Caenorhabditis elegans: one gene and its partner. The protein of the gene in region 1 purifies or fractionates together with the protein of each later gene. This does not show direct contact. Each region holds a gene or a part of one and is shown in the gene's direction. Other genes may lie near its edges.

Region 1 (7,133 bases):
ACAAGATTTGGGCATGAAACAAATTGAATGAAATGTGCTATGTTCAATTTTAAGATTTGCCATCGGTTTTCATTAACTGGGCGGCCGAACAACGAGATCAGGGACATTCAGTTATGAGAGTCATGATTCTGGGAAAAGTTTACGCATGGCCATTGAATGGAAAAGCAGCTGCTGCAATTATTGATTCAACAACTGAAACAAATAAAGGAGATGACTATAGATTTTTTGATCCATGGCTTGGTGGCGGACTACTTTTAGAGGGATATGGTGAACGATGGAAAAGTCACAGAAAAATGTTAACTCCAGCATTTCATTTTGCCAAGTTGGGTGGTTACTTTGAAGTTTTCAATAATGAATCCAAGGTTTGAAACGATTAATTCAATTATATATCATTTCAGTGATTAATTTTCAGATTCTTATTGATCTTTTGAGTGATTTCTCTGCTTCTGGAGAAACTGTCGATATCTTCCCGTATGTCAAGCGTTGCGCTTTGGATATCATTTCTGAGACTGCAATGGGAATTAAAATTGATGCTCAAATAAATCATGATCATAAGTATGTGCAAGCTGTAGAAGGATATAACAAAATTGGAGTTTTAGTTTCATTTAATCCTCACCTGAAGAATCAATTCATTTTTTGGGCAACTGGGTATAAAGCTCAATATGATGATTATTTAAGTACTCTAAAAAGTATGACGGAAAAAGTTATCAAAGAACGAAGAGCTGCTCATGATTCCGGAGAAGTTGAAAAGGAGACATCCAAGAGAATGATGAACTTTTTGGATTTAATGTTGAGTATGGAGGAGTCGAATCAATTAACTTCTGAAGATATTCGTCAAGAAGTTGATACATTTATGTTTGCTGGTCACGATACAACAACATCTTCTACTTCATGGGCTTGTTGGAATTTAGCTCATAATCCGAATGTTCAAGAAAAAGTGTACAAAGAGATGATTGAGGTGTTTGGAGATGATCCAAATACAGATATTACACTGGAAAATGTGAATAATCTGAACTATTTGGATATAGTTCTCAAGGAATCAAAACGAATTATCGCACCAGTTCCTGCACTTCAAAGAAAATTAACAAATGATTTAGAAATTGGTAAGTTAAATTCTAAATGATGTGGTTTTTAAACCAAAAATATCTTGTTAAAATCTTAAAGTATTACAAACAGTTTTATATTAACTTTCTGCTGACTTACATATGTCTGAAAAAAACAGAACATCAATCCGCGTAAGTTCAGTAGAAAATGTGAATTAACGGCACTTCAGTTAAATTATCAATTACTATTGTCAACATTCAAGTACTCCCCAATTTCAGAAAAGTTTCTGCATAAAAAATCTCTGAAATTAAGGAAAATAATAAACTATCAAAAACCAAATGTTAGAATAAATGATTTAATTTGATTATTTTCAGATGGATACATAGTTCCCGCTGGTGGCAATGTGACAATATCTCCAATGGTTCTTCACAGCAATCATCACGTGTTCAAAAATCCAACAGAATTCAATCCTGACAGATTTCTTCCGGATGAAGTTTCAAAGAGACATCCGTATGATTTTATGCCTTTCTTGGCTGGTCCTCGTAATTGTATTGGCCAAAAGTTTGCGCAACTAAATGAGAAAGTAATGATTTCTCATATTGTTCGAAACTTCAAAATTGAACCAACTCTGAAATATAATGACACAAAACCATGTCTGGAAGTGGTAACAAAACCATCGAATGGGATTCCAGTTCGATTAATTCGCAGAAACTAGAGCATCGTTCAGTTACCTGTATATTTTCACATTTTTAAATAAACGATTTTACCTAAAAACCAATTACTTGTCTCTCAACAATCATTGCCCATTCCATCATTGTCATCATTATCGTGTCCCTTTAAACAAGTAGCAATTATGACCGTTGTCGTTTCGTTTTACTGGACGGCCGCAATCGTCCGCGCGGTGAAAAAGAGGAGAATACCGGCTCGTTTGTTACCAGACAACGGACTATAAAATGGATAAGACACGTTTTTATTTTTGCCAGTGTTCATAGAATTCATTTATTGTTCATGCAGTTATTTAGAAAAATAACGTTGTTGTTTTTTGTTTAGAAAAATAACGTTGTTGGTACGTAATTTTCAGTGGTTTTATACTGGGTGGTGATGGAAAGATCAACCTAACACCACACCAAAACCAAAAAGTAGACTGCGCCTAGGTAGGCATAAAGATATGCCTGTCTACTATGGAAGTTTGAAATCAAAATCTTTAACTCTATTTTTTCTGAATACAACATTATTTTTGTTTCAAAGAGAGGCTCCGAGTTTTTTTCTTTAGAAATTTCAGAAGCGTTTGAAATTATCCTTAATCACAAAAAAAAAATAAAGTTAATGTAAATGACACATTCCAATTCAAATTTTTGTGTATTTTATAAAAAATTGTTTTAAAAATTAATTAGAATTCTCTCACTGTTCGTCGAACAAACTTCTTCCAAAAATATACAACACATGGACTGTGTAGTCTAATCTTATCAATTCTTGTGTATTCTTGAAACATGCAGATAAGATTGGTTTATATGTTTGTGGCTTTGGGTTTTGGATTTCTTTTATTTTTAGTTGGCATTGTCAGTTACACCCATGTTTATTCGCTTTTTTCTTTTGCAATGCAAAATGTTCGGTTTATATCAATCGAAATTAATTTGATTTTGAATTTGTATAGCCTATAAACAAATTGAAAATCGTACATTGTAGCTTCTGTTGTTTAACAAAATTGAGAACATGAACAAGATTAGTCATACCTATTCAGTTGTTGTGTGTTTGATGTGATATCACTCTTAATCACTCTTCTTCTATCATCGCTTTTAGTGCCTCTGAATAGAGTGAATCCGGTTCTTTCAGACACACCTCAGTCTTTAAATGCCGATGGTTCAGGGTGCATTTTCACCTCTTCTTGCCTTCATTTCTTTTTCAATTCTTTCCATGCAGATCCGATTTAATGTTTTCGTGTATCTCACAGTGTCGCAGGTCGCAGTATCTATGTATATCTACGGGTATCATCATCTCGTCAACCGATAACCCCATTTTGAATAAGAGAATCAAGGATCTCTTTTCGATTATCGGTGGTCTCATTTTCAATGTTTGCCCTCCATTCTGTGGCGTCTCTTATTCTTCTTCTTACTCTATTTTCTTTTTTTTTAAATTTAACTTACATTTTCAAAATATCAATTTTTCAGGAGATGCTAGTCCTCACCATTGTTATTTCCTCCATTGCGGTAAGTTTTGTGTCGGCACTAATTGAACTGATGATTGGAAACTGTTCACTGCAATATTAAAGTTCAGGTAGCCATGGCTCAGGACTGCTCCACACCTGCAGCCACCCGTGCGTCCTTTGGATCTTACCTGCAGTGTATCAAGGAAGGGCTCGACGCTGACTACGGTAATTATGAAAACGAAATCCGTGAGCACTCCAAGTATGTTTCAACTAATATGAAGCTTTCAATATTATCTGATACTTAAGAAAAGCTGCCGCGACTTGCTTTGCTTCCACCATCGAGGAGGGAAATCAGAAGGATCGTTGCGTGTTGGCTGCTAACGATTTGTCTCATAACGCTTGGGACAAGAACGGACCACTGAGAGAATGCTCTATCTGCAGAACCTTTGCTGCCGGAGCCATCAAGGCTATCAAGGCAACCCCAGCTGAAGATCAAAAATGTATCAGAACTGAAGTTTCAAAGGCTATCGCTCGTGAGGCCAACTATTGCCTCCAAAAGAAAATCGCTAACTTCGCTGGAGTTCCAGACATTCCAGATCTCGAGGAAGGATCATTCCAATACAAAGACTCGGTGTAAGTGTTCCATATCATCCGCTAACATCATAACCACTGATAAATCAATTTTAATTCACTAAAACAATCATCTCTTCAGCATCTCCTCTATCTCTGACCATATCCTTATCCAGTCTCGTCTCTCTTTCTGCGGAGAACGCAAGCCACAACGTGCCGCATCTACCCGTAACTGTCTTGCCAGTCCATTTGTTGGATATTTGAGCGGACACTGCAAGGTTCTCGCCAATTGTGATGCTAAGTTTGTTGGACAATGCGGACAAACCATTCCAGCCACACGCAAGGCCACTTGCGAATGCATCACTGAAGCCAGAGACGATTTGAAGAAGCGTATTGGATCCATCGCCAATGTCTTCAATGATGTAAGAGGATTGAGTTGAACTAGAGAATTTGTATATTTCCCAGTATATTTTAAGCACAAATGGAAACGTTTTGGTTGCTTATTTAAAACCAGAAAATATTTTGTTTCAGCTTCTCTCCGGAGGACGTGGGCTTGCCATCGGATCTGCCAACAAGGTCGATATTTGTACATCTCAAATCAAGAAACAAATGATCACTCCAGTCAACGATTGGGTCAATGTTATTGATACTGCTCTTTCCTCATGCATCCGTAACAAGCCAGCTGGACAGAATCTCGCAATGGAGGCTCTTCTCAATGTTGGATGCCGTAAAGTTATTGCTGATACAACTGGAGCTGCTACCACTCAACTCAAGACAGGATTCGACTTTGTCAACAATCTTATTGATGCAATGGTTCAGCGTAGTGGACGCTTCTGTGGTGGAAGTCATTGCCTTCAGGGATAGATTGATTCGATTAATTATAATTGTATTACCTTCTTTTAATTTAAAAACTTATTTATTAATTTTTGAACGTGTATCAGTTTCTCTTGTATTGTTGAATAAATAATAAGAGTTTCTTTAAAGATGAACTATTTCTGTGAGAAATTTCAAAATTTCGAGATGTATATTATATAGCTAGGATTTGTGAAAATTTTGATGCATCGAAATTATTGAGAAGAATATATTTTGATGGTAAAGAAATTAATGGCAAGAAGTTTTAACCAAATCATTGAAAATCAAAAACAGGATGATCAATAAAGTCAGCAATGCACGATGATGTACTTGTACAAGCTTCCTCAGCTCCTTCTAGCTCAACCATCATCACTGAATTTTCTCCAATTTTCAAGAATTCTGCTGGAATGTACAAAGTCATTTGTGGACCTTTAGTTGGCCAATATCTTCCAAAATTTCTTCCATTCACAATTGCAATTCCTTTTCCCCATCCAGTAGTGTCAAGCCATGTATCAGTTGGGGCATCCACACTAAGAATTCCAATGAAAACTCCCTGTTTTTGATTACTTTTAACATTCTTCCGGTAATTGTTTCTCATTGCTTTTCTGAAGTAGAAGTCTTCTTGAAGAGGAAGCTTGATTCCACATTGAGTCCAAAATTGAATCGCCTGTCCATTCATAAAAACATCCGAAAGAATTCCCTAAAATTCAGACATATAATCCGCAAAACAAAAAAAAATGATCAGCTCTACCTTTCTATCATTAATTGTTTCGAATGTTTTTCTTCCTTGATTTTCGACCAACATAAAAAGCCGATTCTCTTCATTCTCCAGGCAACCTTCAATGATCACTGAGTTTCTGGTCAGGTTGTAATATCTTCGCGTGAGAGTGTCAATGTACTTTCCATTGAGATAAACATGAACAAAATCTCCAAATGAGGGAATTGTCAAGTTTCCACATGAGTTAATTTTCTGTAAACTATGATTTAAAGATACTACTTTATAGCATTTTAAGCATTTTGAAAAAAACCGCTTATACTTTGATCACTTTTTGTCGATAAAAAATTTAGCCAATAAAAATTTAAACCCAAAAATAAATTTCTAACAAACTCACTGCCTGATAAGCTACCAATCCTAATGGATGCTTCAATGTCTCAAAACTGATTGGTTTATCAGTTTCAACACAATCTCCGGGATCTCCCAATGAAGTTAGTGTTTTCAATTTTTCAACGGAATGCACTAGTCTCATCTTGATTTTTCCAAATCTTCCTTTTCTGTAACTTGGAAATATTTTTAAACCGTTTTCTATAAAACTTACGGTGAATTTCCTGGAACATCCAATGGTGGAGTTGGCCAATCAGTCAATCCTTTGATCCATTTTCTTATTTCCAAATATTTGGTTGTTACATCTCCAGATTCACTAATCGGAGCATCATAATCGTAAGAAGTAATGCAAGGAGCCTCAGTTTCTGCACCATTCCAAAATCCAAAATTGGTGCCTCCGTGAATCATATAATAATTGAAACTGGCACCAAGAGAATACATAGTTTGTGATCCATTGATTATTGTTTGTGGAGACGGTAAATTTTGCTTCTTTTGTCCCCAAAGTACCAACCATCCAGGATAATATTCCGAATTTACTAGAGGGCCATTCGGTGCAAATTTTCTTTGTAATTTAAAATTGTTTTCGATTTCTTTAGCATCATCAGTTGGACCAAAGTCTACAGTTGGAAATACTCCTTCCACTGTTCCACATTTTAGCAGAGACTCGGCAGAACCATCAGCTGAATAAATTGAATAATTAGATAAAGTGTTCATTTACTCACTTGTGAATAATAGAACATCATCCCCAACGAGTGATCTTGTAAGATCTCGCAAGAATCGAAGATATTGTTGATCGCATGCATCGTAACTACCGTACTCATTTTCAATTTGAAGCATCAGGACAGGTCCACCGTTTTTACGTAAAAGTGGCTTGACTCTTGGAAGAAGAATTTCAAACCAATTCTCGACTTCGCGGGTAAACCTTAAATTATGTGATTGAACATTTTTGTTTAATTTTAACTAACACTCGATCACTACTTCTTTGCTTTGTCACATTTTTGTTGAGAAGCCACCATGGAAGCCCTCCATTTTCCAATTCTCCACAAATATACGGTCCTAAATTTATTTGTTTTTATTTGAAACTGTGAAGGACTTTCAACATACCGACTCTCAAAATTGTCCATAATCCATATTTATGAAAAGCCATCATGGAAAACTCTGCGAAATCGAGAAGTCCAGAAAAGTCATGACTGCAATTATAAATAGTATACGTTGATTGTTTAAATCTTTTGAAAATGTTCTTACTTTCCTTCTTCAAGCTCGTGCATATTCCATGGAATATAATACTGAATTGCATTAAATCCAAGAGCTCGAACTTTCCCGAGACGTTCGTCCCACCGATCACGAGGAATTCGGAAATAATGAATGGATCCAGAGATGTAACGAAATGGAAGACCATCGAGTAGAAATTGGTTCTTT
Region 2 (6,425 bases), on another chromosome or scaffold:
CTCCAATTTTTCTTGCGATTTTTGGCTAAATTGCAAATTTCTAAAAAATCTCGTTCTTTTAAAATTTCAATCAATTATTGATTTTTCGTCCTTCCAGAATGACGCACGTGTTGCTCTTTTTCCTGACCGCCGGTATGGTTCTCTCGTGTGCTCCGCCGGGATTCGTACAGTCGAATGACCCGTCGCAAGTCGGAGCCCGGTGCTCCGACCTCATACTCTATCCCGTTTCGGCCGTTGATCAAACCGATCAATACAGGTATCATCAATATTATTGATTTTTATTGATTTTTCTTCTAAGTGCTGAAGCTTTAGATTCGACTATAGTGATGTTTCATTCGGCAACACTCATGCTCAGGGAGCAACTGTGGCGATAACGTGTACGACGGGCGGCCAAGCGGCCACAGTTGAAGGATACGACCAGGTGAGTCCAGTTCCGTTGCCATTGGAGTTTCGGAAGACAAAAAGAGCAAAAAATAATTCGTATAGTGGTCAAGAATATGAATTATTTAGTTTTTTTGTCCTGAAAATATAATTTTTCCAGGCCCAAATTCCGGGAAGACTTGCGAAATTCAGATAAAAATTTAATGTTCTTGAATTTTGTGCATTTTTTTTATTTCATAGAAAAGATTGAGAAATTTAACCAAAAATTTTAATGCAATTTTCTGCTTTAAAAAATCCAGAAAATTTTTCAAATTATCAGCGAAAAATCGGATTTTTAATCGAATTTCTTGGTAATTTGGTCTCGACGCGACACATGTTCCTTAAATGCAAAAAGGTGTGCGCCTTTAAAGAGTACTGTAGATTCATACTTTTGGTGCAGCGGAATTTTCAACGATTTTTTGTTATTTTTCGATTCAAAATAGTATTTCATTTTTAAAAAATTACAAATGTAAAGTAAAAAGTACGAAAAACTATGAAAAATCGATGAAAATCGCGCAGAAACAAAAATTTGAAACTACAGTACCCTTTAAAGGCGCACACCCGTTTGTATTTAACGGAAAATAATCGTGTCAAGACCGGGTAACGCATTTTTGGCTCCAAAATCGATTTTTTTTTTCTTAAATTTCCTCTGATTTTCGAAATTTCGGGGATTTTTTTAGAATTTTAGAAAAAATTACAATTTTCGCTGAAAATCCGCAGACTTTCCGTATCTTTTCAGCTGTGAAAACTAAGAAACCACAAGGAACAATTATTTTTATTTTTCTTAATTTTTCAGCAAAGAGCTTCAATCTCAGCGGCTCCGTCTCTGCTCGCCACTTGCACAAACGTTGGCGGCTCCCAGTACACGTGGACGATCCTTGGCAGAATTTTGCAGTTCGTCGATTGCAGATTTTAATTTCTAATTTCCCCCAATTTTTTTTTTGAATATTCTCCTCCCTAGAGATACTCGCCCATTGCAATATTTTCGTCTTTCCATAACCTGCCACGTGTATATTTTCGCAATTTATGAACTCTTTCTGTTAAATTAACTCTAATAAATCGCTTGACGTTCCACGTGACCAGTTTCCCGGAGGAGAATACCGGTCAATTGCGTAGCTTGGCTAACCAATTACTGCACTTTTGACATAGCAGCGGTAGCAGCAGCAGCATTGAAACGAAAATGATGACAAGTGTGAATTTTCATAAATATTGAGGGAAATCAAATAACTTAGCAGTATAGTCGCACAGGGGAAAATACAATAGAAGATCGAAAAACGAAACGATTTTAGAGGACTTGTTCGATGTGCGGTGGGAAAGAGAGATGTGGAGTTGGTGTCTGCACGAATGGGAATCCTGGTTTGTCGGGACGGAACAGCTCGAACTGTGAGCCGGCTTTGTTGATCACGGCGAGACGGACAACTCCGCCGGAGGATCCGTCACGGAAGGTGGCGAGTCCGACGGCTTGCTTCACGATCGCCTTGCACTCCTCGAGCGTCAAGTTTGGTCTCCATTGACTGTCGAGGAAGCCCTGCACGAATGTGGAACCGGAGCCGGAAGCTGTCGATCGCTGGCGGGACACGAATCCTCCGATTGGGATTGCGTAGACCTGGCCGCCGAGCTCCTCATCCCAGCCGGCGACGAGCACTGAGGCGGAGAGCTGCTCGCGGTAGTTGTAGAGGAATTGGCGGAAAATCTGGCTCGAGCGGTAGATTGTCACTGGCTTGTTCTCTGTCATGCTGAAAAAAGTGATTATTTAAAAAAATTATTTTATTTAATTTTAAAACAACTGAAAATTCCTTACGTATAAACATCAATATGGTACTTGGCAATATCGGCGATCGCTTGAGTGTCCGCTGCAGATCCAGAACGGCACACAACCATATTATCGGTGATCGGGGTGATTTTGTTGGTGGCACGGGAGGTGATGAACGAGCCGGCGCTGGTTCTCGAGTCGGTTCCGACGACAACTCCACCGTTGTACTCCATAGCGATGAGAGTGGTCTGAAAATTGAGCTTTTAGTGGAAATTTCAATTTAAAAATCTCACTCCAGTGCTGATTTCTTCCTGTGGATAGAACCCGATTGCCGGAATGGCTTTGCGCTTCTCATCTCGCATAGTATCCATTATCTGCAAAATATCGACTTAAATTCATTTTTTAAAAGTTATTTTAACGTTAAGAAATCAATAATAATGTATAAAAACAAATTTAGTAGTTATTTTTCAGAATAAAATCATTAAAAACGAGAAACCCGAGCAGAAAAAACATTGTCATCAAATCTCAATGCAGCAAAAATGACGTTTGAATTGGCGCTCCACCGGACTGCCTGCACATCTAACTTTCCTGGCACGCGGCCAACATTCGATTTTGGGACGATCGACACGTTCTGGCCACATTTTCTTTGATTTTTTCTGATTTCGCCGACTTTTTTCCCGTTAAAACTGGTTTTTATAACTAGTTTTCCATGTATTTATTAGTTTTTGTCATGTTAGTCACTGAATATCCATGATTTCTCGCCCTCACTGTCTTGGATTTTTGTTTCTCTGAATTTTCGCCATTTTTGATTGAAATTGTGACATTCAACCGTTTATTTTTTTGTAATTCCTCGCAACTGATAATTTCTTTTTTCTAAAATCAATTATTTGCAGTAATGTCGGACAGAAATTGCTACAAGTGCCAACAGCCGGGACATATCTCCCGCAACTGCCCGAATGGCGAGTCCGATGGTGGACGTAGAGGAGGTGGAGGAGGTGGAGTGGTGTTGAATTTGGGGTGTTGAGTTGATTTAGGTAAATACATTATCTCTTGATTTCTTACCGAATTGCAATAATTTTTGAAGTTCTGGAGAAGTGGAGGCGAAGAGAAATGTGTTTAAGCTGGCGGAGATTAGGAGTTATTTGATGATAAATTTACAGCGGAAATCTCGAGACTAATTTCATGTTATTTCAGGATCCACCTGCTACAACTGCCAAGAGACTGGACACTTCTCTCGCGATTGCCCCAAGGGAGGATCCGGAGGAGGACAACGTGGAGGTGGCGGCGGCGGTGGATCGTGCTACAACTGCGGAGGACGTGGACACTACTCTCGTGACTGCCCATCCGCCAGATCTGAGGGAGGAAGCGGTGGCTACGGAGGCCGCGGTGGAGAAGGCAGAAGCTTCGGCGGACAAAAGTGCTACAATTGCGGACGCTCCGGGCACATTTCCCGCGAGTGCACCGAGAGTGGCTCGGCCGAGGAGAAGCGTTGCTACCAGTGCCAGGAGACCGGACACATCTCCCGCGACTGCCCAAGCCAGACCAACTAAATCAATCATCATTCCCCCCATTTTCGTTGTCTTTTCATTGTTCTGTAACTCGAAATAATGTATTCAACTGAAACTTTCGTTCACTCCTTTTTCCAATAATCCTCTTCCCCGCATCTCAAATATTATATGTGAATGCTGGTTGCAGCTATTATCCCCCATCCCAACCTCTGAACCTCTTGAACGAAAGTGGTAATAAATTGTTGATTAAAGTCGTCGTCTTGCGCTCCTCCTCTTTCGCATCGGAAGTGAAGGCGACGTGATGCTCTCACATGGGTTTCCATAGCAACGCGCGCTCTCGCCGAGCAACTCGCGCTGCTCATTCACTCACTTTCGCATATTCTGCGGGAGCCTCGAACAATGAGCTGTTGTTTTTCGAAAAAGCTTTTTGGGCGCCGGTCTAAACGTGAGGATCGCTACAAGGTCAGCGAGGATGCGGTGCCGAAACCGGAAGAGGGAGGTGAACCTCCAAAGTATTCGTGGTAAGTGGAATTTGTGGTCTCGCAGTGAATTTTTTAAAAAAATTCGATTTCGCTGCAAGACCTGTTGCAATCATTTTGATAGCGCCTCTCTGAGGTTTCTAGGTTTCGTTTCTTTAGATATTTAGGTCTGGAATTCAAAAAAAGATTAAAGGCGCATCGCTGCGGGACCCGAAAAATTAATTTTTAAGGGATCGTCGAGAAAAAGTTAATGCCGAAGACTTTACAATTGCGAATATCCATAACACGACTCTGAAAAAGGAGTCGAAAGATGGTGGACCACTTCAAATGGAGAATTGCACGGTACGGTTTAAAGGCGCACGTATCGTGGCGAGACCCGATAATTTCTTTTATAAACTGATACAATAATTTAAAGTGGAAAAGGAGTCTCAGCAATTTCCGAAAAATAAAAATATCGTTAAAGAAAAGAGCGGAATTTGAAATTCCCTTCCGCATTTTTTAAAACATTTAATTTTCAATAAGATTTTATCAATCTCCCGTATACTAAATTTTCCGATTTTTGATGTGAAAATACGGTACCCGTTCTCGACACGGCAATTTTTTTAAAACACAAAAACGTGTGTGCCTTTAAAGAGTACTGCATACATACTGTAATTTCAAACTTTTGTTATTCCGGGGTTCTTATTAATTTTTCATCGTTTTTCTATCATATAAAAATATGTTTATTTACTTTTTAAAAACTAAAATATTAAAAAAAAACTCTAAATTTTTAATAGATTATGGAAAATCGATAAAAATTCCGCAGCAACAAAATTTTTAAAATACAGTACTCTTTAAAGGCGGACACCCGTTTGTATTTAACCGAAAATTACCGTGTGGAGACCGAATACCGTATTTTCGGCGCAAAAATCGCAAATTTTAACGTCTGGGTAATAAATTTGAAAAACTTTCTTTGAAAATTTAAATATCCGCTGATTTTTTTCAAAATTTCTTAACAATATTTTTTAGAAACATGTTTTCGCAAAATTTTCATTATAAAAATGCAATTTATCTGAAAGTCCGCAAACTTTCGGGACCTTTTCAACATTGTAAAGCATTTTTTTTTGGAATTTTTTTAGAGACATTTTTTAATGCACACGTGTAGTCAGAAAGTCCCATTTCGGTTTGATCTTCGAAAAATGCGCGAGGTGAGACGCAGACATCTCATCTGATTTCGCGCATGGTTAAGAGCGTGTTGACGTCCCAATTTTTTTGGGAAAAAAATTCCCGCATTTTTTGTAGATCAAGTAGATCAAGAGTAATGGGACAGCCTGGGACCACGTGAATGCAGAAAAAAAAACCCTTCAATTCCAGGACTCAACAATCCTGTACCTCTACCAAACATCTCAAGTGATTATCGACGATTGCCGCCATTGCACCATCGTGCTCGGCCCAGCGGCGGGCAGCGTTTTCGTGCGTGATTGCGCGAATTGCACAATTTTCACCTCGTGTCAGCAGTTGAGAACACGTGATTGCACGAGCATTCGCATAAGCATTCTGTGCCCAACTGAGCCAATTGTGGAGAACTCAAGCGACATTCACTTCTTCCATTTGGCAATGCGGTACCCGGAGCTTAAAGGTGAGTGGGCTCCTTGTAGGTATCGACAATAATCGCCGCCAGGTCGATTTACGGCGCGCTGCGTGCCGCGTCGCGGTTTTCAGCCAAAAATTGAATGCAAGTGTCCGTGTGGAGTACACAAACTATCCCACGCGTTGTCCGGCAGGCGATTGTCAATGGAGCGAGAAAAACGCTATGAGGGAGGCCTGAAGCTCGTTTGCAAATGTGACGCTTTTCGAAAATAAAATTTCAACGATTTTTGAAAACTCTTCTTTCGGCTCCAAAAGAGCAAAAAGATTAAATTTTTCCCAAAATTTTCAGACCAAATGCACGCTGTCGGACTACGTCCATTCACAAATCGAATCGCGTCGGTGCACGACTTCACTCCGGCCGGGGTCAATGGAAAAGGCAACTTTCGAGTCACGCCAGAAGTCGTTCAAATTGTAAGTTTAGTTTCTACATTGCATTATATGGCTAAGAACGTGCTGACGTCACATTTTTTGGGCGAAAAAGTCCCGCATTTTTTGTAGATCAAACCGTCGATGGGACAGCCTGGCACCACGTGACTTTTTGAACAATAACCGACAGATTATCTTGAGCTCCTATCACTTTCACGTGGTGTCAGAACGCCCCATCTCGGCTTGATCTACAAAAATTGCGGAGATTTA

What was found. The genes of interacting proteins can lie anywhere in the genome.
Region 2: the proteins of T19B10.2 (region 1) and K08D12.3 fractionate together in Caenorhabditis elegans (co-fractionation; one large-scale study listed by BioGRID). This does not show direct contact.

Annotation. Positions count from the first base shown.
Region 1 is NC_003283.11:11,218,090-11,225,222, forward strand, and holds T19B10.2 (DUF19 domain-containing protein), read left to right. Parts: upstream 1-3,212; 5' UTR 3,213-3,215; coding exon 3,216-3,251; intron 3,252-3,318; coding exon 3,319-3,449; intron 3,450-3,496; coding exon 3,497-3,823; intron 3,824-3,902; coding exon 3,903-4,182; intron 4,183-4,291; coding exon 4,292-4,624; 3' UTR 4,625-4,736; downstream 4,737-7,133. Other genes in the region: cyp-29A2 (Cytochrome P450), read left to right, coding at 55-362, 413-1,103, 1,419-1,759; bgal-1 (Beta-galactosidase), read right to left, coding at 4,887-5,312, 5,364-5,582, 5,725-5,884, 5,929-6,394, 6,437-6,636, 6,680-6,770, 6,819-6,904, 6,960-7,133.
Region 2 is NC_003282.8:1,707,199-1,713,623, forward strand, and holds K08D12.3 (CCHC-type domain-containing protein), read left to right. Parts: upstream 1-3,066; 5' UTR 3,067-3,068; coding exon 3,069-3,168; coding exon of another isoform or gene 3,169-3,197; intron 3,198-3,367; coding exon 3,368-3,723; 3' UTR 3,724-3,929; downstream 3,930-6,425. Other genes in the region: pugs-4 (C6 domain-containing protein), read left to right, coding at 99-256, 313-421, 1,217-1,336; pbs-1 (Proteasome subunit beta), read right to left, coding at 1,706-2,156, 2,222-2,421, 2,467-2,544; rpi-2 (Protein XRP2), read left to right, coding at 4,081-4,202, 4,391-4,502, 5,514-5,778, 6,079-6,200.